Oryzias latipes: one gene and its partners. The protein of the gene in region 3 binds, or shares a complex with, the protein of the main gene of each other region. Links are inferred from orthologs where the notes say so. Each region holds a gene or a part of one and is shown on either strand. Other genes may lie near its edges.

Evidence for each region.
Region 1: pigh (region 3) and dpm2 share a complex: the UniProt entries of both Homo sapiens proteins name them as parts of the glycosylphosphatidylinositol-N-acetylglucosaminyltransferase (GPI-GnT) complex. The link is inferred for Oryzias latipes from reciprocal best matches to the Homo sapiens genes PIGH and DPM2.
Region 2: pigh (region 3) and pigp share a complex: the UniProt entries of both Homo sapiens proteins name them as parts of the glycosylphosphatidylinositol-N-acetylglucosaminyltransferase (GPI-GnT) complex. The link is inferred for Oryzias latipes from reciprocal best matches to the Homo sapiens genes PIGH and PIGP.

Annotation. Positions count from the first base shown.
Region 1 is NC_019870.2:30,338,464-30,344,262, forward strand, and holds dpm2 (dolichol phosphate-mannose biosynthesis regulatory protein), read left to right. Parts: upstream 1-2,284; 5' UTR 2,285-2,472; coding exon 2,473-2,571; intron 2,572-3,984; coding exon 3,985-4,074; intron 4,075-4,150; coding exon 4,151-4,253; intron 4,254-4,348; coding exon 4,349-4,404; 3' UTR 4,405-4,569; downstream 4,570-5,799. UniProt on the Homo sapiens protein: Regulates the biosynthesis of dolichol phosphate-mannose. Regulatory subunit of the dolichol-phosphate mannose (DPM) synthase complex; essential for the ER localization and stable expression of DPM1.
Region 2 is NC_019877.2:8,246,916-8,252,980, forward strand, and holds pigp (phosphatidylinositol N-acetylglucosaminyltransferase subunit P), read right to left. Parts: upstream 3,531-6,065; 5' UTR 3,275-3,530; intron 3,196-3,274; 5' UTR 3,193-3,195; coding exon 3,111-3,192; intron 2,115-3,110; coding exon 2,042-2,114; intron 1,929-2,041; coding exon 1,810-1,928; intron 1,493-1,809; coding exon 1,377-1,492; 3' UTR 895-1,376; downstream 1-894. Other genes in the region: putative nuclease HARBI1, read right to left, coding at 1-600; rexo4 (RNA exonuclease 4), read left to right, coding at 3,997-4,212, 4,326-4,645, 4,718-4,864, 5,904-6,065. UniProt on the Homo sapiens protein: Part of the glycosylphosphatidylinositol-N-acetylglucosaminyltransferase (GPI-GnT) complex that catalyzes the transfer of N-acetylglucosamine from UDP-N-acetylglucosamine to phosphatidylinositol and participates in the first step of GPI biosynthesis.
Region 3 is NC_019882.2:21,958,687-21,964,638, reverse strand, and holds the start of pigh (phosphatidylinositol N-acetylglucosaminyltransferase subunit H), read left to right. Parts: upstream 1-1,989; 5' UTR 1,990-2,245; coding exon 2,246-2,422; intron 2,423-4,432; coding exon 4,433-4,642; intron 4,643-4,723; coding exon 4,724-4,807; intron 4,808-4,875; coding exon 4,876-4,950; 3' UTR 4,951-4,990; intron 4,991-5,920; 3' UTR 5,921-5,952. Other genes in the region: zinc finger FYVE domain-containing protein 1, read right to left, coding at 1-53, 127-370, 455-932, 1,433-1,503. UniProt on the Homo sapiens protein: Part of the glycosylphosphatidylinositol-N-acetylglucosaminyltransferase (GPI-GnT) complex that catalyzes the transfer of N-acetylglucosamine from UDP-N-acetylglucosamine to phosphatidylinositol and participates in the first step of GPI biosynthesis.

The DNA of each region.
Region 1 (5,799 bases), on a different chromosome or scaffold from region 3:
AGGACCAGAGTCCCTGCTGCTGCCGGGCGTCTCGAAGCGTGCAAAGAAGGTGTTTAGAGTGTCAGGCAGGGTGGGGTCATGAGTGGTCTGCTGCATGCTGCTCCTGTGGTCTGTGATGGTTCTGATGCCTCTCCACATCTCCCGCGGGTTGTTATTAGCAAAGTGCTGTTCCACCTGTTGTCTGTGTCTGCGTTTGGCCTGGTTGATGCCCCTCCTCAGCTCTGTCCGGGCTCTGCTGTAGGCCAGCCTGTCACCTGACCTGTAGGCTGCATCCCGAGCTTTGAGCAAAGACCGCACTGTTCCATCAAACCATGGTTTCTGGTTTGGGTAGACTTTGATGGACTTTGTGGGCAGAACAGCATCGGTGCAGAACAGCACATAGCTCAGGACGGATGTTGTGTAGGCCTCCAGGTCTGAGCCATCTTTAAACACCTCCCAGTCAGTGAGTTCAAAACAGTCCTGTAGTGCAGAAGAAGCCTCTTCGGTCCATACCTGAACTGTTTTGATGGTTGGTTTGGTCCTGCAGATCAGAGGTCTGTATGTGGGGGTTAGCTCCACAGAGATGTGATCCGACATGCCCAGGTGAGGAGCTGCTGCAGCCTTGTATGCACCTGGGATGTTGCAGTAGACTTGATCCAGTGTGTTGTTGTCTCTGGTGGGAAAGTGAATAAACTTCTGAAATTTGATGGATGGATGGATATATGGATGGATGGGTGGCAGTGGCTCAGGCAGATGAGCAGGTCGTCCAATGATCGAAGGGTCGTTGGTTCGATCCCCTCTCCCCCCAGCCAACTGTCGTGTCTTTGGGGAAGACGCTTCACCCTCCCTGCCTCCACTGGTGCATGAATGTGCATGAATGTCCTGGTGATGGTCAGAGGGGCCGTAGGCGCCAACTGTCAGCCACGCCTCTGTCCGTCTGCCCCAGGGCAGCTGAGGCTACATCAGTAGTTACCATCACCAAGTATGAATGAATGATGGACTCACTGTTAACGCTTTGAGCGTCTGGAAAAGCAGATCAATCCATTATTATTTAGTCTTAAGTATTTAAATAAAAAGTAGGGTAACATTGACGTAGAGCAACTGTCAACTGTCAACTGGCTATGTTTTGACTATCTTATTCAGATTCATTTCTCCACGCAGGTCAGTTCTTGCTTTACCAAACTGACTTGGATGGTTCATTTTTCAGACGAGTGAATTCTGCTGGCAGGATCAACCCGGTAGCCCCAGGAGTTGGCAGTAGGGCGGGCCAACCCAGGCCAGGCCTCAACTAGGGCAACAGTTCTGGATTGTGTTTCTATAGTTTTTTTACTCTAATTAAATAATGAGTGATGAGCAAATACTTAGTGGTCAAATGTCTTTACCGTCAGATCTGTAGTTTGTTCTTAATGAATGATCTTTTTCAGCAGCAAAGAGCATTTATCACTGCAGGAACATGAATGCATCAGTGTCTGCAACATTTGCTCTTGTTTGCACACCAACTAGCTGGTCTAAACATTGGGACTGCATTGTAAATTAAAAACATGTATTTTAAAATCTTTGAACTCAAAAGCAACTTTTCTGAACTGTATCGCTGAACTATGTATTTATTTAGCGGAATGTCGACACTTAAGCTCTCTGAAAATGTATTTGTTTATTTTTTTAAACAAATCTTTGTTCTTGATGATCTACTTTCTGACCTGGATTAAAAAAAAAGGTTCATCATGTACGGATTTCTGTTTCTTAGAGATTTGTTATGAAAGTATTGGATAGTTTTTATTTCATTATTTTGAATGTGGATGAGCGGGTTCTACTGGTAGGAGTGTTTACCAGTAACTACCATTTCTTTAGTTTAATCAAAAAAGTGATGACTCATATCACTGCAGAAGCGTTGTCCGGTCCATGACTCCTGGATGGTCCGGTCCATAAGTCCAGGGAATAATGTAGCTTTGCCTGAGGATGACCACCATGACTAAAGCCGATCTCTTGGAGCCAGATTGTCGTGTTGAAGTGGGTTAGTGCAGAAAATGGATTTATGGAATATGAACGTTCCTGTGAGACTCCAGCATGAATCTCAACACAAATCCTAAAGTCATAAAAAATATTCCTTTCCAAATGGCCAGGATGTCGAAACGCCAACTGTTTGCTGCTTCAGGAATCCCACAAGACAGAAAATGTAAAAAACAACAAAATCAGGCGGGACGTTTTTCTATTTGTCATGTTACTCCAGACCAGCAGGGGGCGGTCACGGGACTTTCTCCTGCAGCTGCAGCCGGACATAAACCAACCGGAAAAACGGAGGTCACGTGGTTCTACCGCCTGTCAACAATGGTGAGCGGCGTTTAAGTAATTTATTTTATAGGAAATCCCTTTACAAACATGATTTTACGGGGATAAACAGTCGCAGTGGTTTGACCTTTACAGGCCGCCGTCATGAAGAATTGTGCCTAAAAGCAGGTTGAAGTTTCGCGTTGAGCTCTTGACGCTTAAGGCTTAATGACGATCCGCGGGTCCCTAACCGGGTCCCTAACCGGCCTTCAGAAGAACGACAGGAATGTTTTCTCCTCACGGGAATGCGGACAAAACGGACGTTTGGTCTCTGACATTTTTATTCACCGCACATGAAAAAACGCTGAGATTGAAGCCGCAGCTGTAGTCAGTTTGGCCTTTTTCATTGTATTTATTTACTCTGAAGTTAGAAGAACATCCCACAGAAACTTTACCCAATGAGTTCTATCACTAGAGGAGACACACCCGCTTGGGAAGCCTGGCCGACGGTGGCGGAGCGCGACGCCATCTTGGTGAGGTCGTCAGCGCCCACGTGACAATGATTTCTATTGCCTTTAGTGGCATCTAGTAGCTTTTATATATATTTATACCTATATATAAATATATATGTATATCATTTATGTATATGCATCATTTGTTTTTAAATAAGAGAAACAGGCAGCATTAAAAGCTCAAACTTTAATGAAAAATGCAGAGTTGCAGGACTTCTTACAAAAAAAATTATTACAAAGAATTTTTAAAAATAATTTTTAAACATGTAGAAGTTTTAGACCTCTTTGAAACGTAATTTAAATTATTTAGAAAAGCCCAACAATAAGTCAATAGGAAGCCAATAATAATAATGAATAATAACAATATATACATAAGTCAATAATTATAATAATAATAAATAGTAATTCAATAATAATAATAAATTATAAGAATAAATCAATAATAAGTCAACAATAAGTCCAAAAGTCAATAACAGATTTACCCTGAAAAAACAAAGAGAAACAATAGATTAACTGATTCATGTTAGTGATCAGTTTGTGTAACACAGATTCCTTGGTGTCGGGTTTCAGGCTAACATTCTGGCCTCTCATCAAAGTCTGGTTCCACAAATGTTCTGAACATATCCAGACTGTATCACTAGTTGGTACCACAGTGATCCATCTGGGTTAGCTCTTTTTATTGCTAAGATCCACTTTTTCCTGAAGTCTGAATCTATTAGAAACCTGCAAGAAAAGTTCAGTCTGAGTCAGAAATGTATAAATCTATATTATTATAATAGCCTAGTCCTAGTATACTGTATATAGGTTTAACACAATAAAGTTTACATTTATGTCGACAGCAAATTCTCCGTACATCATGCAGCATGTTGATAACAGCCCTGCAGCATCATGCATGTCTACATGTGTTCTATTCATGAAGCCCCTCCAGCATTAAAAGAAAAACATTAAAATACTTACCTGTGAAATGTTCTGCCTTCCTGCTTCGTGGACTAATTTCCTCGATTTTGACAGTTGAAATCCGCACAATGAACTGGGATTTTGAGTTCACATGCTGAACTGCAGCAGTGACTTGACCTCACCAAGATGGCGGTGCTCTCCTCCCATGAAGAATCCCATGACGTCTCCTCTAGCGATAGAACTCATTGACTTTAACTGCTGCGGCACCCGCAGTCTGAGACCCGGTCCAAAGCTGGGTCACTGATGAACTTTTTCTGCTCTTGGTTTTCAGGCCACTGGAGTGGATCAGGCTGTCGGCATGGGTCTGGTTCTGTTCAGCCTGGCTCTGTTTTCGTACTACTCTGTGTGGGTCGTGGTTCTGGTACGTCCTGATGGAGCCTCTTAAATATCTGTAGGACAAAGGTGGACTCTAATACTGTGATTTGCACCAATTGCAGCCGTTCATGGACGGTGACCACATGCTGCAGCAGTACTTCCTTCCTCGTGAGTACTCTGTCATCCTGCCGGGCATTGCAGCAGTGGTTTTGCTCCTCATGATAGGTCAGTATGCCGTCTCATGACCTCATGACCCCGCTGTCTACACGTCTTCATGCCAGACGGACGCGGTGATCCTCTGGTTTTTGTCTTCTCTGCAGGGGCTTTCACAGCAGCTGTTGTGTGGATGAATCACAAGCCAAAGAAAGTGGATTAGTCCCACTTTCCATGGGAAAATGGAACTTTATAAAGTCACATGGATTCATTTTCCTCCTCTGGGAATCTTTTTGACAGAACATGTGCTTGGTGTTGTGGGTATGAGTGCTGGCTGTGAGTGAAGTCTGGGTTTCAAACTGAAAAATAAACCTTTTCACATAGATCACCCCGTCCTACAGATGTTTTAATGGTTGCCAAGCATTCTGCTGACCTCCATGATGCTGGGAGTCACTCGTTTTCAGTATCTACACTGTGTGGAGGCAGCATTTGTACACCAGATGAGTACGGTGGGTGGAGTCTTTAGGTGTTTCAAAAGTCTGAATACTTTTGTCATTTCTCACTAGTTTGGACTTTAACCCTCCTGATGGGCTGGATTCTTGTCTTGCTCCATGTTACCTAACTGTTTTCTCTACATCAATAAAATCACAAATTAAAATAGTAGAAAATCGGTTTCAACCATTGACTGTATAGAGAACTGGACTGATCGAGGGTGAGCCACCCGTAGAAAACACCTAACCCCCAGCTCCAGCTAAAGGAACCCGATTCAGTCGCCGTTTTTCCTCGATACGGTTGCGCCATGTTGGAGCCAGACGACAGTGGTTGGTGCGAGTGGTCGTTTCTATGGCAACTACTGTCGCCAATCAGAAGTAAGCTTGTTTGAAGTCCACACCCCTTCAGCTCAGGACCTGAAAGCAGCTCAGGAAAATCTGTCAAACGTTAGAGGTGGGGGGCAGCAGGCACCACAAGCTCTTACTGAGGGATCTGATTGGTCAGCTGAGATCTTGAATAAAGAAAGCAAATGAGGATTATTAAGAATATATTAACAAAAGGTATCAGATCCAGAACGCTTCTTCTGACCAATAGAATGACTGAGGAACATCTGGTCATTTCTATAGACATGTACGGGATTCTGGTTTCTTGGAACCAGCAGATACTTCCTGTTTGGAACGCCAGGGGGAGGGGCGTGCCCAGTCCAGGTCTCCATACACAGTCACTGGTTAACTCTTGTTCTATCCTAGGCACTTTACCATTGGGAGTTGGGTCATCTAGACCCACTAGACAGAGCTCTGAACCTTTTTTCTTCAATGATTTGTGATCTTCACTGGTGTCCATGGATTACATGAAATCTTTCCACCTTTATCCACCTTTGTCATGGTAGGGGGAACACGTCAATGGAAGGGGGGGTCATCTAAGCACAGGGGTTACGGCCTCACACCCTCATATCTAGAGCCGCCCACCGACACACCCAGAATCCATGAACAAAACCCGTAACTGTAACTTCAACACTTTTCACAGTATTTTTCAACTGTTTTGATTTTATTTGACTTCAGCGAAACAAACATGTTCAAATGTGCGAACAGAAGGATTCATACTGCGGCTCCTACTCTCCTCATGG
Region 2 (6,065 bases), on a different chromosome or scaffold from region 3:
TACGCAGCATTTCTCCACACTCAGGATGTTGCCCTGGGAATCGCATATGAACTGGCTCACCACCGACGTGAAGCCCTGCGCGTTGATGAAGGACTTAAAGAACTCCTTCTCATACGGAGAAGCCCTGATCTTAAACTGGGCAGGAGCCATGGCTCCCAGGACGTTGGGGATTTTGCAGAACTCTTTAATGACGGCGGCGTTTTGAATCCTGGCTTCCGCGGTGAGAGGGAAAGAGATGAACACGTCCGACATCCCCGCGATGACCCCCGATGCTGAGCTGGCGACGCTCGTGAGGCTGGCGTGCAGGCACGAGCCCACTTTCTGCACCACGAGCGGGCTGAACGCGCCATGCGCGAAGTAGTTAAGAGCCACCATGACGAACGCGTCCACCGGAGGCGAGGGTTTCTTGCAGGAGACCGTTTTCATGCGGATTCGAACGGCGTCGACGATGAAAGCGATGCAGGGCCGCGTGAGGTGGAAGTATTCGAACAAAGCGGCGTCGTTGAATTCGTCAAAACAGGTCGAGTTCTCCTTCTCCGCCGCTTCTTCTTCCAGGAGAAGCTCGTGCACCGCCAGCCACACCGGAACAGCAAACGTCATTTTTGTTTGTTTGGAACGTGTATTTGAAGACAATAAGCACAAAACTAAACAACAAAAATGTGGAATACTTGGAAGAGGAGCAGCACCCTGTTATTGCTTTTCTTCGTCTATCAATAAAGTTAACAAAACGCAGCACCAAACTCACTACTGCCCCCTGCTGTACATTTAAAGATCTTTGTGCCAATAACAATAAATGACACACAGGACAATTTTCAAAATGAAACACCAAAAAATCTCCTTATTTGTAATAAAATGAAGTGTAAACAGAAAAGGAGGGAAATAGGACCCCCAATCTTTTTTTAAAATATCTTTTATGCACTTTTGTCATCTTTGAATTGTACAAAAATACAAAGGCAACAATGAAACAACAAGATATACAGTATATATATTATTTTATGTTTAGCCAGAAACTATAAACACAACTTGGTTCAGCTTTGAAACTTTATCTATTTTGTCTAAAATAACAAAAGTTGAGTTTATCTTGTGGAAAAATACCTCATCTTTAATGCACTGAAACATACTGTAAATGAACATATTTAAGTGATATTTTCTTATTGGTATGATGGAAACATCTTGATCAATTAAGAAAAAAAATTTAAAAGGTAAATAGCAAAGTCACAGTGCAAAAGTTACATACAAACCCACTAACCAGACCTGTTAACTTTGCATACAAATTTGCAAAAGCGAACAGATTTGGCATATTACACCATCAGAAAGGTTCCCCCAGATTATTAATAAATGAACAGAGAAACCACAAAACACCCAGCAGCAGACTGTTATGTTTTGGGTGATAAATAAAACATTTTGTTGACATCACTGATGGAGACATCCTTTATTCGAGGTATTCCCCCCTTCTGCAGGCATTCTTCACTCTGCTTTAGTGCATAAATATCTAAAAGACACAAAGAAGACACTTAAAGCTGTTTTCTTGGTGGTGTTTTCTTAATTTTGACATAATATCCGACCTTTTTGACATAAATTACTCACCCTTATTTGTATTCATTTATTTTAAAAGTATATGCTTTTATTATGTGAGGTACAGTTCCTTTTTTAGAAAAATGCAGCTGCAATTAGCGCATGTTAAAGCTAGTTCGGTTGTATTACTCCTAGCAGTGATTTTACTTCCTTTTTTTAAAATTCAATATAATTTCACTTCAAACAGCTTTTCTGTGATTTACGCTGACTGTTAGCCTGCAGCCATAAACTCACCTGTGATGTTGTCCACAGAGTCCAGTGGGGCTGTGTTGCTCATGTTGACCCCAAATAACACCACAACAAACACCAGTATTGCCACCAGCATATATATTGGCACTGCGAGAGCCCAATACCTGCATCAAACATTTCACTTTAAGATTCAAACAAAGGCTAACAAGCCTAGGGTAATCTCATTGTAAAAAGACATAAAACATAAATTCTAACTTGTCATATTGTTGCTACTTACTTTTGAGGCCAATAAGTGAGCCCTATAGAATGAAGCCATTCCTCTGGTATGTATGCCCACAAGCAGTACAGAACTTTGGGAAAAGAAACAGAACAAACATATTTTATTAAGAGAATTCTTTGATACTCTTTTAGGATAGACTTTTTTTTCAAATTGTTCACGAACTATTTTTACTTCTGTTCTGTTACATTATCTTACATTTATGTATAAACATATGTCCTTTCATTTCAATTTATTTTTAAATCTGATGCTTTTTCATACAGAAAGACCATCCAACCAATAAAAAAGACAACCTTTGAGGAAAGTGTAAATATTCATTTATAAGCAACAGAGTTATGTGATATTCCAAATTGAAATCTTTTTAGAATTATTGGGATTATTAGAAGAATTTTCTTTTAAATGAGAAAAAGACAATCCAATTTAAAAGTTAAACAAGACTTCTTCATTTGGCTTAATACAATTTTGCCGACTTATTAAATTGTGTAGTTTTAAGCCTAAATATGAACATAACAGGCCTATTAAAAAAATCCTACTTTTTACCCAAAACAACAACAACACACAACTAGCGTTTTAAAGTAATTTACAATATTTAAGTCACTACCATCCTGCCATCTTTCAGCTGAATTTTTAAAAATATATATAAACACAATAACCTTTTACTAATGTATACCTTGAGATATAAATAACTTAAAAAAAACTAATTATTGAAAGAATTCTATTGAGAAAAAAATCCAAAAAGGCTTGTTTTTTTTAAGTGAAGTCACATTGAATTAATGGCAGTCTGTTTTTCAGGTGGTCAACTATTTATCACCCTAGTAGTAAGGAGATTTAAATCTCCACCGAGAAACGGTTATTCTATTTTAACTCAAGTGAGTCGTCCTGCACATTTACAAATTTCAATGAGATTAGATTTATGGCAACATAAACAAAAGGAACAGAATGTCTTTGCTATATTACCAAGAGCCGTAGAGATAAGTAATTCCACAACATTTTACGTTGAATGACATCTTCTGCAAATAGAACTATGCTTCTAATTTGAAAGAACATGATGTGATGGGACTTAACTTACAGAAGCCAAACTGGGAGCCAAGGAAGAGAACAAACCCATAGATTGCTCTCTCTGGCATAGGTGATGGGGAGTTTTCAACCATGATCTGAAACCAGAACACAAACAGACCATCTATTGGGTAAAATAATCGAAAATAAACAATGACAAAAAGTCACTAAACTTACCGACAGATAATAAGTGTATTTTGGTTCGTAAGAAGAGCAGCAAGTTTACAAAAACCCCTAAAAACAGTTTAAATGTTTCTCAAATAGCTTGTTTATATCGTACCATCAGCTAGGTTCAACGATAGATAAAATCCAATTCTACTATTTCAAACGAAACATAAATAAAAATGTAAAAAGTGCATCTAATCATATTACGCCAAAACCTAGCTGACTGCTGTCAACAAAACGTTAGTCCATCACCTAAATGAGTTCGGTCAGAAACTGTACATCAGGAACAAAAGACTTTAAAGAAATAAAGCAAAATTACATATCAATCTTGTGTTCTTTGTTAGTAATGTATAGATATTAAAAACTATTTTCAAGCTTGAAAAAAGAAAGAAATAAAAAAATCAACGAAGGGAGAACTTTCTGCCGCTCGAACGAATCATGTTACTTTTTTCCTGACGAACATATTTGACTGTTACTCATTCCAGAAGCACCGCAGCATGGCTTCGTGAATGTGAAGGTAAACAACTTGAAACATAATTTTTCCCTGTTTGGGAGGATAATAAAGTGGCTATTTTTGCTAATAGAAACAGTGTGTGCCCTTTATCTGGGATACATATGTATGTGACACAGCGTTAACTGTTTTCGTTTACATCTCACCTAAAATTGGCTTCTTTCAAAAACGTGGCTGTGTAACACAGCAAATACTCCCTGAAGTTTAAAGAAGTGCGACCACGATGTCTAAAATCAAAGGAAAGGAAACTCCTGCTGGAAAAACGCAACAGCTGACGTCCAAAGAAAAAAGGAAGAAGTTTTTTATAAAGCATAATCGTAAAAAACAAACTTCCCAAAAGACTCTAAACAAGAAAAATCTAGAAAATCCTGGAGCAAAGCAAACTGCACCACCACAGGATCCCCAACAGTTTTCTTCCAACTGGAAAGCATTACAAGAGGTTTGTCTGACGAATATTAAACTCTATGCTCTTCATAAGCTGTGCAACTACTTATGTGAAAATGTATTTACTTTTAAAATGTAATTATCTTCTTTGTTTCCTGAACATGGCAGATCTTAAAGAGCAGTCAGCCAGAGAAGAAGCAGCCTGTTACACCAAAACATCGGAATGGTGTCTTCCCTAAGAAGTTTAAAGGAAATGAGCCTAAAAAGTTTCAAAATAAGAGCCCTGCTCCCAGCCAGGTGCACACAGACAGAGAGGGAAAAGTCAAAAGTGGCGATGCCCCAAAGGAGGATGGGGTGAAGGCAAAGATCCACGCCGCCTTAGACAAACTGCAACCTGGTGGTGCAAGGAAAAGGCAAAACGAAAAGACAGACAATGAGAAACCAGCCAAGAAAAAGAAGCCCGTCACTGAAGAGAGGAAACCCACAGAGTATGTATCCTTATTGCTAATACTTGACTTCAGTTCGGGTTTGCCTTGTAATCTTTGCTTGTGCTGCTGTAGGGAGGACCTTTGGTTTGATGACGTCGACCCTGACGATATTGAGGAAACGATGGGAGCCGAGGCTGCAGAGATCATGAGGAGGAAACAAGGCATGAAAACAAGCAAGAACGTAGATAGCGTTCTGGTAAAAGAGAACGCCTTTGATGGGTAAGAGAAACTGTTTTGTGTTCTTACGGTCAAAATGCCACACCTTCATTTGCTATCGATCAACTCTAGTTGAAATTCACCTTTCTTTATAGAGCTCTTTTCCTGTTAAAAAACACCTCAAAGTCTTTTACATAAATAAATAATAATTATATTAGTATTTATAATAAACACATGTTGTGTACAAAAACTAGCAGGAAAAAATAATCCATAAAATCAAATTAAAACATGAGGAAATGTAAAATCGACATAAAAGCTAAACTAAAAAGGTGAGTTTAGGCCAAAGTTCTGCCATGTGGCCTCGCTGTGGGTTTTTGTTTATGACCTCAGGGAGCACCAGCATAACTGGATCTGAGGGCTCTGGGAGGGTCGTCTGCTAACACCAGCTTGATTAAAATTAAAGTGCAATTTCATTAAACTAAGAAAAGTACCTTAAAATCGATCCTAAAGCTGACAGAGAACCAGATATTTCAAATTTGGAGTCCTTCTTTTTGTCCTGATATTTTTTGATAATTTTTGCTCAACAATCATTATTATAGTATATTGTTTTAATCTCATCTGCTGCTCTTCTTCATCATTGTTTTCTTGGTCGGATGTGTAAAAGTGTTGAAAAAGTCCATTCCTAGCAACTCTTTAATCTAGTGGGATACTTCCCGTGTGTGTTGCTCTCTTTGGGCATAAGTATGAGTCTTAAAATCGTCGGATTGTTTCGCAATTGCTTCCTGATGAATATGCAGCCATAGCTGTTGCAGAGTTTATGCTCATCTCAACCTGCAGCAGACTGGCTCCAACAGACTCCCTAAGTGGAAGTAGTTGGAAAAACAGCCGTTGCCTTTTTAAACAAGTTTTTGAAAAAATCGGTATAGTTGTCAGTTATACCCCAATAACATCAGATGTTCTCTTACTTCTCTCAAAAGAGAAAATGATTTAATAATGTTTCAGGTGATTTCTGTGGAGAAACTTTAAAACGGGCAGCAGAAAGACTGGACTGTTTCATTAGATGACCTTTTGTTTTCTCCACGTTTGTACGTATGAATATCAGCATCACCAAAGCTGTAGCTATTGATTGTGAGATGGTGGGAGTCGGTCCAGATGGGGAGGACAGCATCCTGGCACGTGTGTCCATCGTGAACCAGTTTGGAAAATGCATCTATGACAAATATGTCAAACCCACAGAGAAGGTGACAGACTACAGAACAGCTGT
Region 3 (5,952 bases):
CACATCCGAGATGGCCAAGACTTTGAGGAGGAGGCGTTGACCCTGATTAGCTCCTAATTAAAACAGAAGGGAGCTGAGAATGCTTGCTTGCTTAGTGACAAAGAGTTTCAGGTATTTGTTCCATACCAGCCCCCAGCAGCCCCTCCGTATCGATGACCACCACTCTGTGCAGAGGATCCAGAGCAGCCCACACCCCCACGGTGCAGGACTCCTGGGTGGGCAGGGTCTTGAACACTTCTCTTCCAAGAAAGAAGGTGTGGTTTAATGTGTGGGACTTGCCCTCTCCAGTGTTTCCAAAGATGGAAACCACTTTGAGGAGCTCATCTGGTGTGCAGCCTAGTCTGCTAACAAAATCCTCTTCATCTTTCACCTAAAAACCCATTGAGATGATTTTACTCATCAGGAATGTTCTGGAAGAAGGATTTGGGACAAAGTAGGTTTGTTTGGCACCCACCTGCACCTCCTCCTTCTCATTGACTAACAGGAAGCTGCTCGCCTCCTCCAGCTTGGATCTGAGGGCCTCCACCTCCATCTCCCCATCCACCACGCAGCTTTCCTTGGCCGGAGGATAAAGCGTCAGCGGGTGCTTCCTCTTGTTGACGCCAGCATGAGTGCGTTTCTGGCAGTCTAAACACAGATTGATCTTACAGCCCTGACAGCGCACCGCCGCCCGGACCCGGGTGGCGTCGGCCCTGCCCCCCTTACAGAGGTCACAGAAGGGAACGTGGCCGGCCTTGATCTGAACCCGGTCATGGTTTCTCATGCGCTTCTGCCGGTGGAGCTCCAGTTCACAGCGGATGCACTGCAGGCTGCCGCACTCATCACACTCATATGTGGCTTCGTCTGAGCCCCCACAGGCAAAGCTCTCTTGACAGACCAAGACCGTGGGCCTCCCTTGCTCCATTTCTGAACCTGGCTCGCTCATTGTGGACCTGAAATTTGAACAACAGTGACTTTTAAGAAAGATGTGTTAAAGACTCCAGAGCATGCAGGTCGCTCAGGTGTTTGTGCATGAGATGTCCTGTAGACGAATGTTTACATTAAAGAAGGTCCAACCATTCATAGATCCACCAACAACACAGACACCTGGAGGGGAAATGGAAAAAAGTATGAAAAATTAAAGGTTAATGGGGAATTTTTAAGGTTGATTCCATTAGATTCTGCCTCAGACAGATCAGTCTGGTTGGATTGTAGGAATAGAAATGCATTCAGTGATTAATTGTTACCAACCACACATTATAACACACTACACATTCTGAAAATTCAGAAAAAAAGCATTAAAAGAATACCAACAGCTGAGGCACAGTAAAAAGAATTGGGCCAGAATGAAAGCAGATACATACACAGCCCATTTGTAAGGAGCTTTAGTTTAGAACATTTGCTCTGATTTTCCAAATAAATACATAATCGGCTCTTACCTGAACAGACTCACCTGTCCCACGGAAGTGAGTCTAGCCCCGAAGGTTCAGCAGGAAGCGATAGCGGCGTCACGCTGTCAAACATGCATGTTTACAAAAAGAAACAACAGCCCCGCGAGAAAATCAGCTGGTTGCCTTGTTTTGTTGTCCATGTCAAGGGTCACAGCGGCGCAATGCATTTTGGGAAATGCATTTCCAGTGAGGGTCGAGCTCTTTGTTTAAAGTGAATCATGAAACAAACATGTAAAAGTTACTTTTGCTTATATTTATAAATCTAAAGCTTTTATCTCCACATTGAAGTTCCTCCATAAAGCCCTGTACCTAAAACTCTCACCCATAATGCTTTGCTACAGCCGTCATTACTGGGGGTAAGTTCGTTTTGTACACAGAGGGCTGCCGGAAAGTGGCTTACTGAGACTTGCGCTTATTTTAGGGTTCTGATGAATTGAAATATGATATCATAAAATAGGCTTTGATCATTAAATTAATGTCAAATAGACTTAAATTCATCTTTGCTGCGGCTGTTTTGATTCCTGTGCTTGTTTAAGCGCCCCGGTGTCAAAAACAAAAGCACCCGGAAGTTGCGTCACGTGAGAAGTTTTTTTCTTTTACATGAGAAGTAGTTATGCACAAATGTTTTTACTTTGCAAATTTTACTGTTGACGTTGTTTTTCAGATGAACAGGGTTGAGTGTGATCTTTTAGTCCCCGTATTCAGGTGGAATTAACGGCATTAGTCTGCTGTTGAGGTGCTAAGCAACAAGCTAACTTAAGCTAGCTAGCTAGCCCAAACGGACTCTCTGAGTTTTTTCCCTCACTCCTGATCTGATGGAAGAAGAAACATTCTCTGACATTAGAGGTCAGCCCATTACTCTGGGATGTCAGAGGCACTCCAGCTTCTGCACGGAGTTCACTGTCAGCTCCCCCAAGGTGTCCATCGGGAAGGTCCTGGCGTCCACCTGCTCGGTGTGGCTGCTGGCTTACCTGCTGTTCTTCTTCACACAGGTGAGACCTTCTGTCTGTCTGTCTGTCTGTCTGTCTGTCTGTCTGTCTGTCTGTCTGTCTGTCTGTCTGTCTGTCTGTCTGTCTGTCTGTCTGTCTGTCATGGTGGGAGGAAAAGAAAAATGACTTGATTGTTGTGGGAACATTGCCTTGTAGATTGTCAGAACCGCTTCTGGTTCTGGATCTGGTTTTGTGTCTGCTCTGGTTTAATAACGTTCACATGGGCTCTTCATCCCGGCTGGTTCTGTTTGCTTCTCTGACTTTACATAATTGTTCAGGCATAACTTTAGCCTCCAAAACTTACTTTCCCATGGGGAAATGTTAGATCAGGGTGTCTTGTCATCGCTACAAATGATTGATCAAAGTAGGAACGTTTAGGCTTTTATTAGGTTTAAGTTAAAATATAGAAAACCATTTAATGGTAGAATAAAAGCAATTCCTTTCCTTTCTTTGTCCCCAATGTCCTGCAGTCTGATGATGTTGATGATGATGGTAAAACCATCACTGATCCCCAATTGTCCAACATTCCCCATAAATAATGCAAAGTTACAAAACTACACAGAAGAGGAAGTGAAATGGAGTTAAGATCTAAATTCCTCAAATGTACTATTGCTCCAAAATGCAAGAAATTCATTTCAAAATTATGAGTGATGTTTACCCAAACGCGAAGAGCTGTTGGGTTTATGCTTTGGTTTTCAGCAAAACAGCTGAGCTTTCTGTGATATGAACACAGAATCAATAGATGGATTGTTTTATCAATGCATCAACTGTATGTCAATGGCTTTTGGCGGATTGTCGTTGTTGATGTTGCACTACATTTTCAGAAAGCCAAGTATATTTTGGAGTAATCTGCAGAGAGAAATGATTTAATTTAGTTCTTAATCTGACACACAGGCTGCTTTGAGACTTTACAAACCTTTTCATTTGATTCACTGTTCTGTTTTGGTGCATTTGCTCGGGTGACACAAATGCAAAACAGAAATAACCTCTAAATCACGAACCATATCTGGCTCTTTTGATGGTCACATCTGGCTCGCAGACAAATCTTTAATTATAAAAACAATGTTTTCATTAAACCAGTCCTTCTCAGGCGCGATGTGATGCCGGGGGGGGGGGGGGGGGGGGCGCAGTAGTAGTAGCGGTGCTTGGACAAAAAAAAATCTGCGCCACTATTGGTTTCCTATTATGTGTTACATCACAGAGTTTGTAGCAGCCTCAAACTGTGAACCATCCGTCCCTGCAGCTGCACGCCCCCGTCTCTGAGAGGGGGGGGTAGCAAGGTGACACGCACACTGAGTGTCAGAGCTTAGAACACGCTGTCCGTCACATACCACACACTGCAGCGTGTGAGCACTGCTGTACTGACAGTGTTCGCATTTCTCACATCTATAGAACATTAAGACTAAGGGTGTGACGATAACCGCATCACCACGGTGATCAAAAATCCCACACCGTCACAGCTCTACTCCACAGCGGGTTCATAATAATAATGAAGTGATAACGTAAAATAATAAGGAATCAATCACTGTTCTTCTGGGGGAAACCTGATTTTATTACTGTTCTCCTTCACTTGGTAACACCAAACATGAACGTGCATGTACTTATTGTACTTGAAACGTGTTGAAATTACGCAAAATACACACATTCACTTGTATTTTTAGTTTTAAACATATTGTATTGCTGAACAAGTTGTGTGGCGTTGGTTACGGCCTGGAGTAACTAGAATAAAGAACCTTAAAAGAGGTTAAGTCTCCATGCCTCAGTGTGGGAAAGGTACGCTACAATATTGTATACTATCATTAAATTACATTGAAAAATATGTGGTGTTCATGGCTCTCTCGGCCAAAAAGGTTCCCGACCCCTGCTCTAGAAGGAGAAAAACAAAACAAATGAATAAATATTTGTATCTATTCTAGTTCAGGCTGAAGTTTGAAAAAGCAAAGGTAGGAACTCTGAGACATAAACTCCTCCCACCACCGCCAACCATAAAAGCTCATGTTTCCTGTCCCGTAGAACACGGCGGTTCTGTCCAGTGCCATCCTCGTCACCTTGGTCGGCATGGTTCTTCACATCCACTTTGTGAAGGTCGACCACGAGTCCCTTCTAGTCATCGGGTCTTTGGGCATCCAGGTGTCTTCTAGCTACGCCTCAGGCCGCGAGATCACGTCCTTCATAGAGATGGGCCGGATTAAAGACATCGTCATCAACGAGGCTGTTTACATGGTGCTTCTGTGGACCAATGTCATTGTAATCATGGGTCACCTCTGGGACGCAGGTGTAAAAGCCGTGTGTCCTTCATTCCAGCATCAGATCATCTACCACCTGTGTGTGCTGCTGAGGGAGCCGGCAGAGCCAGACGCCGTGGCGGGTGTGGTGCCCTTGTTCCAGGTCAGTGCAGGCTCATGGTGTGAGGAACAGTGCCAGAGGTTGATCTTCACCAGGACTTTGTCTTTCAGAGCTCAAAGCCTAGACTCGGTTGTTTGGTAAAGGTTTACCGCAGCTGTCAGGAGATCCTGTCCAAGGTTCCATGAAGCTTGGAGGGGACGTCTGTCTGACCACACTTTGCTTCTGGTATGTTTGAATCCTTTTAAATTGGACAAGAGTACAGGAACTTGTTAATGGTTTCTGCCAAATATGTTTTGTCCTAATATTTCAAAAGTCATTCTAAAGCATCACAGGCCTCTTTCACTAATCAAATGCAGCTTTCAGAGTCAAGGCCCGTACACACCGGGACGAATATTCGCCAGGCGTTATTCGCCAGCGTTTTTCGCCACGTTTTTTGTGTTCACACCCAGGCGATTTTCGCTGACGATGAGTGGAGTGAACATGCAATTTCATTCACTGACATTAGATGGCGCTTAATGTAAAACAGAAATACTCCTGTACACAAGGTGGCGCTGCGCAACTTTACGCTTCTGAAAGTCGCTTTTAACTCAGAAGAAGAGAGCAAGTATTTACGCGCTTGTCAGAATCAAACAAAGAAAACATGAATATTTCAAGCACCAGTAGCTCCAACTGGTGCTTGGTTCGGGGATATTTTAGAATGTCCATCATTATTGCTTCGCGGCAGTGTAGACGCTACTTGGCGTCTATCTTCTTCGCTGGTATGTGTGCTCAGCAAGGCAGTTTTGTGTTTGAGCGCCCCCAAGTTGTGTTTTACTGTAACTTCAGAAGCTCCAGACACGTGTGCAAAAGCGCCATTCTCATTGGTCGAGTAGATTTCGACGCGACGCGTCAAACAAAAAACGAACCCGAGGTGTTTTGTTTTTTTTGACGCTTTGACGCGTGGCGTTTTTTTCGCGTCGGTGTGCACACTCTCATTGGTGCCCTTTGTTTAGTCACGAGGCGTTAAACGTCGGCGAAAATCGCCGGCGAAATTCGTCCCGGTGTGAACGCGCCTTCAGTCAGAAGAGAGCTGCAGAATCCCGGTTTTGTTTAGGTCCCATGTCGGGTTTTTCCCTATTTCCGTCTGTTTGATGTCAGTCTTCTCTGTTTCATCAGGTCCAGGGAGGCTTCTTAGAGCTCTTCATCCC